2 linked regions of the Drosophila melanogaster genome follow. Changing the gene in region 1 together with any one later gene gives a genetic interaction. Each region holds a gene or a part of one and is shown on either strand. Other genes may lie near its edges.

Evidence for each region. Genes that interact genetically often act in the same process or in processes that back each other up.
Region 2: of Actbeta (region 1) and tutl, changing one enhances a phenotype caused by changing the other (phenotypic enhancement), as found in Drosophila melanogaster (one study listed by BioGRID).

What each region holds. Positions count from the first base shown.
Region 1 is NC_004353.4:1,078,762-1,086,479, forward strand, and holds the start of Actbeta (Activin-beta), read right to left. Parts: upstream 6,036-7,718; 5' UTR 5,853-6,035; intron 4,513-5,852; 5' UTR 4,366-4,512; coding exon 3,366-4,365; intron 2,447-3,365; coding exon 1,496-2,446; intron 69-1,495; coding exon 1-68. UniProt on the Drosophila melanogaster protein: Controls several aspects of neuronal morphogenesis; essential for optic lobe development, EcR-B1 expression in larval brains, mushroom body remodeling, dorsal neuron morphogenesis and motoneuron axon guidance.
Region 2 is NT_033779.5:4,281,204-4,286,176, reverse strand, and holds the start of tutl (turtle), read right to left. Parts: upstream 3,030-4,973; 5' UTR 2,925-3,029; intron 1,928-2,924; exon of another isoform or gene 1,875-1,927; intron 1,477-1,874; exon of another isoform or gene 1,419-1,476; 5' UTR 1,103-1,418; intron 1-1,102. UniProt on the Drosophila melanogaster protein: Essential protein that plays a role in the establishment of coordinated motor control. In the developing eye, involved in axonal targeting of the R7 photoreceptor.

The DNA of each region.
Region 1 (7,718 bases):
TTTTTGGCTGGGAACACGGCGGTTTTGGGCCGAAAACTCGAGTATTCGATATTGTCGATATTGGGTTCCTTAAAATAAAATATATTATGCCAATGAATAAGAAGACTACACACAGTCATATGAGCGAATTACAAAAAAATATATTGCATTGTTTTTTTTCTTCAAAAACAGATATATTGTAAAGTTTACAATTTTTGTACAGTTAACTAAAAATCAAAGCTTTGTATATAAAATGTACTCTTAAGCGTTTTGTAGGCGTTAGAGATGGCGGATATTGGTAGACATTAAAAAAACCTCAACTACTTCAACTTTAATATAACGTATTTAAATATATTCGTTTTTGTCCATATCGATCGTATCGATGTCAGGGCCTGTAAAATCTAGAAAGTTCAGATAAAAAATTAAAAATTTCAGAGAAGAAGCACTCTCACAAGCTACCACGCTTACACTTTTAAGAAAGCGTTTTTATTTTTAGTCATTATATAATTTGTTTTGCCAATTTCTATCGGTATGCCATACATACCGCCACAAGCCGGTTTCTACTGATTTGCCTAATGTTTTTTGGGCACGATCACTCTTTCTTATTTTTATTACTGTATATTACTATTACTATATATTAATATATATTATAATATAATAATATATAATAGTAACTATAGTATATAGTATAGTATAGTATAGTAAAGTATGTTAAAGGCAGGAAGAATCGTTTCCGACTATATATAGTATATATATTCTTGATCAGGATCAATAGCCGAATCAATCTAGCCATGTCTGTATGGAACGTCTAGATCTCATGAACTATAAAAGCTAGAAGGTTAGAAGCATACTAGCTAGAAGCATACCGATTGTAGACACCTAAACGCATCGCACGTGTGTTGAGCCAACTCCCACAAACCTCCGAAAACTTTTGAAAAAGTTTTGATATTTTCTCATATTTTTAGTCTGTAGTCTTGTACATTTTTTTTTATCGATTTGTCAACAAACTTTTTGCCACGCCCACTCTAACGACCCAAAAAATGCCGCCGACAATTTTTTTTTTTTGACAAATTTGTGGATATTTTTTCATAATTTTATTAGTCTTTTAAAATTTTATGGATTTGCCAAAAAACTGCCACGCCCACACTTTAGAAAATTTTTTTTAGATTTTTCTTTGTTTTATTGTTTGTCTTGCTAATTTCCACCGGTATACCAAAACACTGTGATCACGCACATCCTTTCACCAACAAAACGCCCAAGAGGCTCACTCCCTCACTATTAAAGAATTATACAATTTTTTTCTCATTTTATTTCCCCGTAATATCCAACGATATCCCAGCAAAATTATGAAATTTCGCGTTTGCGTACCCACTAGTTATAACGGGTATAAAATAAAATTTATATTTACTTATTTATAGTAACAGGTATCTGATAGTCGGCGAACTCGACGTCTCTTATTTTTTAATTTGCCCTCGACGATAGCGTTTAATCCTGTGTTGAATAAAAATCTACTCACCCTCTTCAGCAAATGTAATTATTTCCTGCGTATTTCCAAAGAAGTCTTCATGATCAATATTTTCATGATCATCAGCAAAAGATTCGTGATGTCCTTTCTGATTTTCATATTCTATGTTGTGGATCGCTGGCTGATATCCAATGCTAGAGCGACCTTCATGGTACCGGTTTTTATCATGAGTCTGAACACTGTAATCGTTAAAATATTCATAATCATTGTGGCTCATCTCACCATTTTTGCCAGTATGGGTTTTATTATCAATACTATGATTTATATCTATAGGATATGTAGATTTTTTTAAGGCATTCTCATTCATTTGTGTGCCGTTGATGCCATTAACTTTTCTGACCGCTCCGCTTTTAAGCTCCTTAGGACTACTGTTATGGTGGCTCTTTAGTTCTATAGGCATAGATGCAATTTGAGAGTTTATTTTTAATTGACGGTTTTCTGTCCATCCGTTTAAGAATGAGTTTTTTTTATCGATTCGTTCTAAAGAACGATTTCTCAATACTTTCCCATATACATTATTTTTACTTATATTGAAAGTGAAATCGAACGGGGATCGATATTTATGATGACTGGGATCCCGTTCGCTTCTCTGATCGGTCCTTCCACCTCGGCCATTAAACAAATGTGATCCGGGCGAGGCAAACGCCCTCAGCTTGATAGTCTTCTGATCTAAATTCTTACCACTGCTCCCAAATGCATTGTTTGGTATCATTCGTCCACCATCGACTCGATATATTGTTTCCCAAATAAATTGCTTTGGTAAAGGATGAGATACATTAGGCTTGTGGCTAAGACCAAGCTTTGTCAAAATTTGCCGTTTTATTGACTCCAAACGAACTTCATCGCTGGGTGCAATGTTGTTATGGGGTTGATTAGTTTTTTTGTTGAAATTATTGTTGGAATGGTATTTGTTGTAGATGTTGTAGTCTGTGTGTGGATTATCTGTGTGAATGTGATAATTGTAAAGTGTTATGTAAAATTCATTATATAAATTTTTGTTGTTGTATGGAGTGTTTTTATGTTTTTAGTAAAGTTTCATTACCCGATATCACACAAGTTTTATCGTTTTTTAAAAATATTTTTTTGTCTTGCTAGCATTATTATTTTAAGATTTGGATTTATTTTTATGGTTCACAAAAATCTCGAAAAGAAATAAAATCAATAATCAAATCTATTTATAGTTTCTGAAATCCAGCGCCTATGACCTCTACTGTTTTTTTTTGCAATACCGAGTTTGACTAGTATTGTACATATTTACGTCACTGGAGCGACATTTCCTTCGTTTTTACGTTAAGAACAATATATAATTTTTTTATTTTATGACAATAAAATTAGACGAGACAGGAATACCTTTCAAGACTCGTAATGTTTTAATTCAAAAATATGTACGAAATTAATCGTGTAGCAAGCAAATTTTTCCAATCCTTAAGATAAACAAATTGCAATATTAAGATAAAAACTCACCCAGACTATGAAAATTTGTTCTAGATATTTTGTATTTTTTGTTATTTACCCTTTTAAGGGGGTATGAATATCCCAGGCTTACTGCGGGTGGTCCTTGTATTAAATATTATTTACATTACTAGTGGTACAACATTTGTCAATAGATATTTAATTTAATCATTGAAAATGATTTTATTTTACTTAAAAATAGCACAAAAATCTTACAAATTAAATTTATTTTACAAAAAATTCTGCATTGCAATAGTTTTGGTACAGTACGATAACCGCTTATTTCACAACAACTCACATCTGTTTTATCTTAATAACGCCAAACTCAATGTAGTTTTTTTTAGTCTCAATAAGAATATTAAAAGATTACCCTATATTCAGTATGTAAAAAATTTTTTTGAAAACTGACCTTTATCGGTGTATATGTTGGGCTTTCCGCTTTCATGGCACAAGGTGCAGCCCTTGTGACTCTCCAAATTCGAAGCATAATAATTACTACTGCTGATCCCATTGCAATTTATAAGTTTGACTTCAAACCAGACGAGTCCAATTAGAAGCCAAATAAGATTGGCTCTATTGCGTTTAATCTTTGAACAGTTACGCATTGAACCATGAATCGCTGGCCAAGGTGCTTCAATTTCCCTCAAAGGGGACACCAGTAGGCTTCTCTCTGACTGACTAAATAGTTTACCTCCTTGTACTAAGTCATAATTAGTTCCGTAATTTGTCTCCAAAGACTGGCATTTGGCATCGCTAAAATTAAGTCTTTGCTCAAAGCCGCTCATATTATCTTGCATTAGATGATGAAGTCGCTTAGTATATCTGTGCCTGCGTCGTCTGTGATTGCGTCGGCGTCGCCTCCTTCGCTGTCGTTTACGATTGCGACTTTTACAAAGCACTCTACATAAATTGTTGGACTTTACCTGTTGGTCGTTATTTATGTCATACGATGTATACCCATAAAGCAACTTTAGCTTCGTCTCCGAAGTGCTACTGGGAGTTTCATTAGGTGTGGTAGGAACCGAGACGTGCACTGTCCTACTGCTGGCTTGGCTTCTATCTGCAACTCCAGACTGGCCAGGCACGGAAAATATGTCTAGGAGTATGCAGCTTGTCAGGAGTGTCGCTACCGCAGTAACCCACCGAGCCAGCACTAAAATAACCGCCACAAACCTTGATACTCTAAGGACTTCGAGGTCAGCAACTTTTTTACGCATTGCAGCGGGTTGTGGAAATGACTTCCGGGAGCCAAGGCTGTTGCAGCAGTTTAAGTTAAAGCAGCAACAGCACTTTACAACCACAACGCAGCATCCTTGGCGACAGCAGATGCATTGACAATTAAAGAAACACCTGCTGCCTTTGAATGGCGCCCCCGATTGCGAATGATTAGAATCGAAGGCAAATCGCATCTTTGATATATGGCAAGCGTGTAGTACAGGCACTGTCCCTTAGAAACGTGGTACAAGTATTGTCAATTTTATTTTTCTGGTAAATATTTTTTTAATCATTGCAAATCTTTTTCCTTTCCTTTCCTTTCTGTCGTTCATTTCGTCTGCCTGTTCAAAATACAAATTTTCGATTAGATAAGTGGTAAGCTAACTGGAAATTAATATGGACACTAAACAAGAGAGGAGGCTACAAATTGGCAAATAAATTAAAAACACCGGAGAAAGCTATAGTCGACTTCCCCGATGCGAAGTTTCATAATTTTTCAGGGATATTTATAAATATTGTGCAAAAAGATACGAAAAAGTTTTAAATTTGTTTGAAAATGTGGGCGTGACCGTTTCGCTCGTTTTGTGGCCAAAGTGTTTTTTATATACAAAAATTGGTTCCAACAAGGCGGTGCAACAGCACATACTTCAAGAGCATCGATGGCTGTTTTGAGGGAACACTTTCCAGAGCGCCTTATCTCAATTAGAGGCGATTTGGAATGGCCGGCACGATCTGTCCCCTTGTGATTTTTTTCTATTGGGTTTTTTGAAGTCCCGTGTTTATGTGAACCGTCCAAGAGCCCTACAAGATTTGAAAACCAACATCCAAGAAGAAATTGCCATCATAACACCTGCCATGCTAACAAGACTCACGACAAACGCCAGAAATCGGTTTACGCAATGTATGGAGAATGGGGGACGTCACCTATCAGATTTCATCTTCAAAAAATATGACATGTACGTACAATATAAAAAAAAATAAATTTTTTCCGATGCCTACAATAGTTTTCATTGAGTTCTGAAAAAGGAAATTATGCTGCCGCACCCTGTATATACTTTGTATGCTCGGCAATGCTCCCTTCTACATGGTACTTACTTTTTAACGTATATAGTATACCCTTTGATTCTACGAGTAAGGGAATATATATACGGGTATACAAATCTTAAATGATATATTCTCCGAATACTTGTTTACTTGATAATTAACCAGTAATTGAACCAGTTTGCGTTGAAACGGACGGACGGTTACGGCTCTTACTGCTAGCCATACAGATGAACATATATTCTTCGTGTGGTCGTAATTGTCTCCTTTACTGCGTTGCAAGAAACTGACTTAAATCAATATACACTTTGAAAGGGTACAACACATTAAAATTAGTCTAAACCTGACGCCGAGCTTCGGATGGCACAGTTATTATTACGCCAGAAATACTTCATACCATGCACCAACAGAAGCGGACAGACAGACTCATCCGTCCCTTCTGAAGAACTCAAGGCGACACACAGACTGTGTCCAGATGAAAAGACCTACGCCTGAATGGTGGTTACTTAGAAGCCTAGCAGCGGAAAGGGATGAAGAGGAATTAAAAGCATGCGTTCAACAAAAAAATTTGTACATATGTAAGAAGGAAGGTGGTTATGTGTATAGGCTTATGATCAGTGTATGTAACAATATGTATCACCTTTTTCTTTTTAGAAACAATAAATTTTCAACTAAGTAAATATATTTCTTCACGAGAAATATTAGGGACACTATCACATTTTCACGATTTATAAATGTATTATGCTTTTCCTTTTAGCACGGAAACAATATTTTGTATCTCCGTTGGTTGCTAAATGACATTGCATACTTTGTGAAACTAAGATGACACTTTAAGCTTTTCAAAAGCTTTCTTGAAAATAACAATATTTCAGCGTTGCCATATTTGCACCAGAAATATCTGTTGCCATTCAAATTAGAAAGAATATCGATGCTATCGATATATGCTTCCTTTCACGATTAAAAAGTCGGCAGATTCAAATGGATGAATTTCAATAACCTAAATCATTTTTAAATCGTAATCGTAACTAATAAATAAAAATGTTGTTAAGCGTAGATGGAATCGTTTACCCAAAATTCCAAATTAGCAGTCGATCTTGTGTCGATCTATGTGCGCCTAAACATTAACAGATTTATCTGTAAAACTTTACGTCCAATTCAGTTAGATTCAAATCAAGATATAAATATTAATATTATATTCATTTGCTAGTACGAATGCGAACGCAAAATTTCATCATTTTTCTGGGATATCGATATTAGGGGGAAATAAAATGGGAAAAAATTGTTATACCTGTTATTCGTGGTTTGCGGGCTTTATATTGGGCGTTTTTTGGCAAATCGATAGAAATTTACAAGACTAATAAAATTATGAAAAATATCCAATACATTTTCATAAACGTGGGAGTAGCAGTTTTGGTCGATTTTAGCGCTTTGAGTGGTCGTGGCAAAAATGTTTTTTGCAGATCGATAGAAATTTACAAGATTATTAGTCTTGTATGAAAAAGTATGTATGAGAAAATATAAAAACATTTTTCAAAAGTGTGGACGTGGCAGTTTTGTGCAGTTTGTGGGCGTTAGATGAAATTATGAAAAACTATCCACAAATTGTTCAAAAATGTGGGCGTGCCAGTTTTGTGCGCTTTGTGGGCGTTAGAGTGGTCGTGTCAACATCTGTCAACAAACTTGCGCTGCGTCTATGTCGCTTGAATCTGTATGCTGATCTCAAGCTTTTACGTTTACGTACAGTACATGAGATTTCGAGTTCATTCGGAAAGACGGACGGTCGAACAGACGGTCGGACAGACGGTCGGACGGACACACGGATACACGGACATACGGACAAGGCCAGATCGATTCGGCTATTGATCCTGATCACACTTTATATGGTTGGAAACGCTTCCTTCTGGTTGTTACATACTTTCCAAATGTGAAATTCGAGTAAGTATTCTATTATTTTGCTGATTTTAGTTATGCAAATCGATATAAGGAAAAGCCCAGCAGATAATATTTCTTTATCCTTTACTTGTTAACAAAAAAAGGGTAAACCGTACTCTCTGAAGAATATTTAACAGAAAGAACAAAGAGGATGTATACGTAACTTCACCGGAATACCTACAATTATTGGCTACATTTACTTTTTACTTCCTTCGAAACGATTGCATCAAACTAGAAATAGAATACGAATATTTTGTTGTTGGTTGTTTTCATCATATACATACATGTACATAGACATAACAAATAAATAATTTACGTTTTGATACAAGCAAAAGCCTCGTAGGAGTTACTAGAATCTGGACGGATAACTTCAATTTTTTGATATCTATAGTTTTATAGGTTTTGACTTTTATAAAGATGGACCGACGGACAAGGGGACTGACTGGCATGTATCGGTCGTCTACGTTAGTGGCACGGGTTAAAAAACTTTATCCAAGACATTGTTTTAATTGGAAGAGTATATAAACCTTAGTTTGCCGATATCATGTTATTCTGGTTTTATGTGCTATCGACT
Region 2 (4,973 bases), on another chromosome or scaffold:
TTTCTTGTTTATGTTTACACTTATGGCGCGTCGCTTTTGCCTGCATTCGTGTGCGAGCATAGTTATCGCTATCGTTATCGTTATCGCCGCTAAGCGAGGTCGTAACTCGTTTGAATAGGTTACCAAGTGACCTTAGTCGGCAGTCACGCAAGCACCCACTTACAGCCTTTATATATTTACATGTAAATATCTGGCATGCACCAAATGTAATGGTAAATCGATCCACCGATGATTGCTGGCATTTCAGGGACCCGTCGACAGACAGGCCCAAATTTACTCCGTATTTCCTTGGAGTGGGCGTAGTAAGCCCATTTTGTGTGGAGCGAAATGGGCAAACAACTACTTCATTTATCAATATTAAGCATTTGTGGGGCGGGGTGGAAATTCGAATATTCGAATAAATGACTGCCAAGAGGCGAGTGGAGCGATTGAAGCGAAGCGCAAAGCCATGGATCCGTATCCGTATGGTGTGTCCCTCTATGGGAATTGCAATTTCCTGGCCAACGGAACCACTAATAACCCTTTGTCTTTATCATCTGTCCCCGTCTTTGTCGTCATCGGTTACACATGTTTGCTGCTTTGTTATTTCGAACTACAGATGGTCAGATCTAGCCACGCTGGAAGCTCCTCCTAGCAAGATACAAAGCCACAAAACCAATCAAGCCCCTCCATCCGTTTCGAGCCACCGAAACTGCAATCCCCTCTCGAAAACCGATCCCTTCGATTCCCGCCTGGCATTTGCCGTTTGTTTTCTGCTTTCTGGCCCAGTTCAGTTCGGTTCGGTTCGATTGTTTGTTTTTCTGGGCCAGAGTACTTTTTTCTGGCCTTTTGAAAATTTCGTAATTGAATTGGGCCCGTAATGCTCGCAACCGCACTTATTTACACTTGCCGATGTAATTGAAATTTCATAAATTTTAATTAAATTCTTGCCTGCGGACATTGGAGCATTTGATTGTTCTGTTCGATGTGTGTGCAATTGGCGATGTTTTAGTTTTAGTTGCTGCTGTAGCTGTTGTAGCTGCAGTAGTTTTCCCCGAGGATTTCGCTTACATTACAATTTAGAGTATATCGACATTTTGGACCCTAATGGGTGGTGACTCACCTCACTTGCGCAATCATTATACGACGTGCCCAGATCCAATTCTATAGTTGTGTACTGGCCAATTCCAAGAGTCCTGCACTCCTGGAGTCCTACAGTCCGGGAGTCCTCAAGTTGGTGAGTGACCAGGCGAGTTTGATTGCTCAAGTCGTAAAATCCGGGAGTTGTTTGCTGTTCGCCTTTCGTTTTCGGCGTTTACTGGGCGCGTTTTACACTTTGTTTACAGGATAATCGCATACTTTATGACACTTTCCACTTCGAGTACACTGGGCGTATGCGTTTGACGAAGGACTTTGAAACCGTTGACTTTTACGTGGGGCTGCACAAAGGATTTTTATGTTATTCCAATTTGATTGGGGGAAATGGTTGATTGAGTGCTTCAGAACAAAGGCAAAACTCATAAGACATAAGGCGTAAAATGAATGGCGATGCGAGGACTCTGCGTATAAACGCGCCTTTTATGCACAACAAATAAAATCAATACGGCGTAAAATCAAAAATATGAGCATGGGTTGTGGCAATTGTCACCACTGGGTCTGGTCAACAAATAAAGGTCCTTCGGCATTTGTGGATTTCACTGCGGCACACACTCCGAAACACGTGACTCATGGGTCAATGCGGTGGCTACGCCTTATATGTACGCCCTATACGAACTATACGCCTTATATGCATTATATAATTGTCACTTGGCGAGCTGCTTTATTAGCATCCTCCCACTGTTTTTTCCACTTGGTCGGGCCAAAATCACAGGTCGAAACCATAAACTGAAACTCACAGCTGTGCGTCGCCGCCACACCAATTGCCTGGCGTTTTTTGAAAACTCCGACTGACGACGGGCCTGTCGAACAGCTCGCTGGAAAATCGCGACGGCTGCACAGGCCAAAAAGCAGAAACAGAGAGAACCAGTTTTCCAAGGCAGTGGGGAAAAGTGCTCAGCGGGAAAATATGGGGTTTAATTTTTTGGCAATTTTTTGAGCAAGCTATGCTCGAAAAGTTATCAAGCTGGTGCTAAAACATTAGGATAGGAAACTTGTTGTTTTAATATTTTCAACGCTGCCTAACATCATTAGATATTTCCATAAAGGATATTGGTATTGATAAAGTTTTAAAAATAAATATTTAACAGACTCTTTGTTGAAACTTTAAATATTTTTAAAAATTAAAATATTCTTAAGTTTCTATATGCTGGTATGTCTGTTGGAAAAGGTCCTTCTATTTTCCCTTCCAAGCAATCAGCTGATGCGTAACGGCTATCTTGTTGGCCAAAATTCCCCAATAACGGTAACTGCTCACTTGCGCAACTGTCCTGGCCCGAAAAACCCCCCCATTGAGAACTTTGCAGCCAGTACAAGTTTTCAGAAATGTCTCTTATAACTCTCTGTCACTCTCTTTGCGATCCTTTGGGAAACTGGAATTTTTCTTGCAGCGCTGTTTTTCTTGGCTGTTCTGCTGCTTTTTTTTTCTTCCCCATTTTCAAGTTTTGCACCCGCGCGGGTGTGGTCCTGTTTTTCCGATTCTGGCCAAAGGAGCGTGAAAAGCGCCGAAAACGCGAGCGAATTTCCACTTCAGCACAGACACACACACATATGTACGCACACACACGCACAATTGGGAGAGCGTTTTCCCACCCCTTTTCCGGTGGTGATTTGAATTTGTGACGTTCCGCTTGATTGCCGCCCGCTTTTTGCTTTGTTTTTCTTTTATTCACTCATCATTTTCCATCAATTTGCGTATCCATAACTTGAACAATTTTCCTAGTCGCACACAAACACACGCACACACACACAGAGACACTGGGAAAAGGCGAGAGCGAGACAGCACTTACGGCCACTGAACGCTGCGATTGAAATGGGATTTCTGATTGCTTTGGACTCTACGGATTTCGTCCGCGTTCACGTACGCCGTGGTGGAACAACAATTGAGTACTGAATCTGCGTCAGGAGTGCTCGATTTGCCACTCGAAAAAGAGACGGCATTTGCTGCACGAACAGAGAGATTGCGAGAGAGAGAGAGAGCGAGAGAGCGCGCTGCTTCGGCGAGAAAGAGAGAGCCTATACTCTCTTATACTATATGATGCTGGCTAATGCCATATTCCGATTCAGCTTCGGGCCGAGCGAATGTGGCCAGCGAACCTGTCCTAACCCTTTGACATGGCTTTCCGACGACGACGGACCGGACAGCAGAGAACCACGAGAATTCAGGGGAGTGCAGTGCACTCGAAACAAATGCGGTGTAATTCAGGCCAGGAATATGTTTCCAGCAATTGTTCTTGTAGAAATGAGACCTAAGAAAACACCTAATACATTCAGATATTTGCATGATTTCCAAGGCTTGCTTGAATATTTGTTTTAGCGCTGCAGTTACCAAAACTCTTTGGTCAACACTTTACCAATGTTTTTTTTTTTTTGTGTGTGGGAAGCCCTTCTGCGCGGCCGCTCGGCTTCATTGAATAATTATCTCGAGTTTACCTGTTCTCAACTGTCGGCGGGCCCTTCGATGTGACTGTGACCCAAAAACCAGTTTCACCGCCAAACTCCCAACTCGTTTGGCGCTCAGAAAAGGCGAAAAGCGCCTGCGCAGCCCGCTCAAAGTTGAAAGAGTGAAGCCATGTGGAAATGTGTTAAGTGCCAAACACCCAAAACATTTCTGTTTGAGTAGCCAAAGAACCGTAGCGTAGGCCCCTGCCATGGGCCATATAATTGGATAATGCGAGCGAACCCCCCGCTTAAATGGCTTTTTAATTATGCCCAAGAATGTGGTACATCATCAGCGATGATCTATGATTTCTACCTGCATTTGGTGGTCCGTGCAGCCTCGACGGTCCATTCGCATCGTCACTTTTGGCCAGTCATAAAGTTCCCACAACTCAGGGTGAGCCTGACCTACGTTGTAATGCTTCAATTAGCCAACATCTGCTGCCGTGGCCGAGAAAACCCAGTTTCCCCGTGCTCGAGCGACAGAATATTTCCCTTGCAGACCGAGCGAGAGGAAAACTCCGCCACTGGAAGTTGGGAAATCAGTGCGACTGCGCGAAAATCTGCAAAGACAAAATCCTGCTGAGAGACGCCCTCAATATGCTGGCCTCTTTCTCTCTTTTGCTCTCTGAGAATCACCACCCGATTCGGCACCACCCACTCGCAACACCCACTTTTGCCACCCAACAACTTTGGCAAAATGTTTCGTTTTCGCTGAATTTCACTTGGTTCACAGGCCACTCTGGCGAATCCTTCGCAGGACCTCCTTCTGGTGCACTGGCACACACACACACACACACAAGAGAGTACCTACTACATATATGTTGATTTTGGCACTCTGATTTATGCATTATATTAGCGTTGATTTTTAGCTGCAATAAATCTGCACATAATCGGGGGCTACATGCTATAAAGCCATGCATGCCATCCCGTAATCATAATTCACCCGGTCCGTTAATAGGTCCTTCCCCACTCCCCCTCTCCCTAACACACCAACGACGAGCAAACCAAGTCACTAATTTCTGACTTCAGACAGGTGAACGCCTCCCAAAGTGGCTCGTTCGTCTAAGAGTCGACGCTTCACGGCTGTCAAGTGCGATTCCCTGAATGCTTGAGTGTGCTGAAGAGCCAGCCATATGCTGGGCTCAAAGTCGATGCTACCTGAAATCGAACAGCTGTCACACAACAGTCAACTAATTGCCAATTTCATAATCGCCCAAATCTCGATTTGTTTGGGCCGAAAGGCCCAGGAGGTGTCGAGATTATCGTGTATGAGCGAGACAATCCAGGAGCAGTTGCCAACTATTAATGACCGCACGTAGTCAGTGTCCAGTTCTCCAGAGAAACAGCCGCACGTGTTATGGGTGAAAATATGCTTTTGCAAACATTGAGAAAAATGA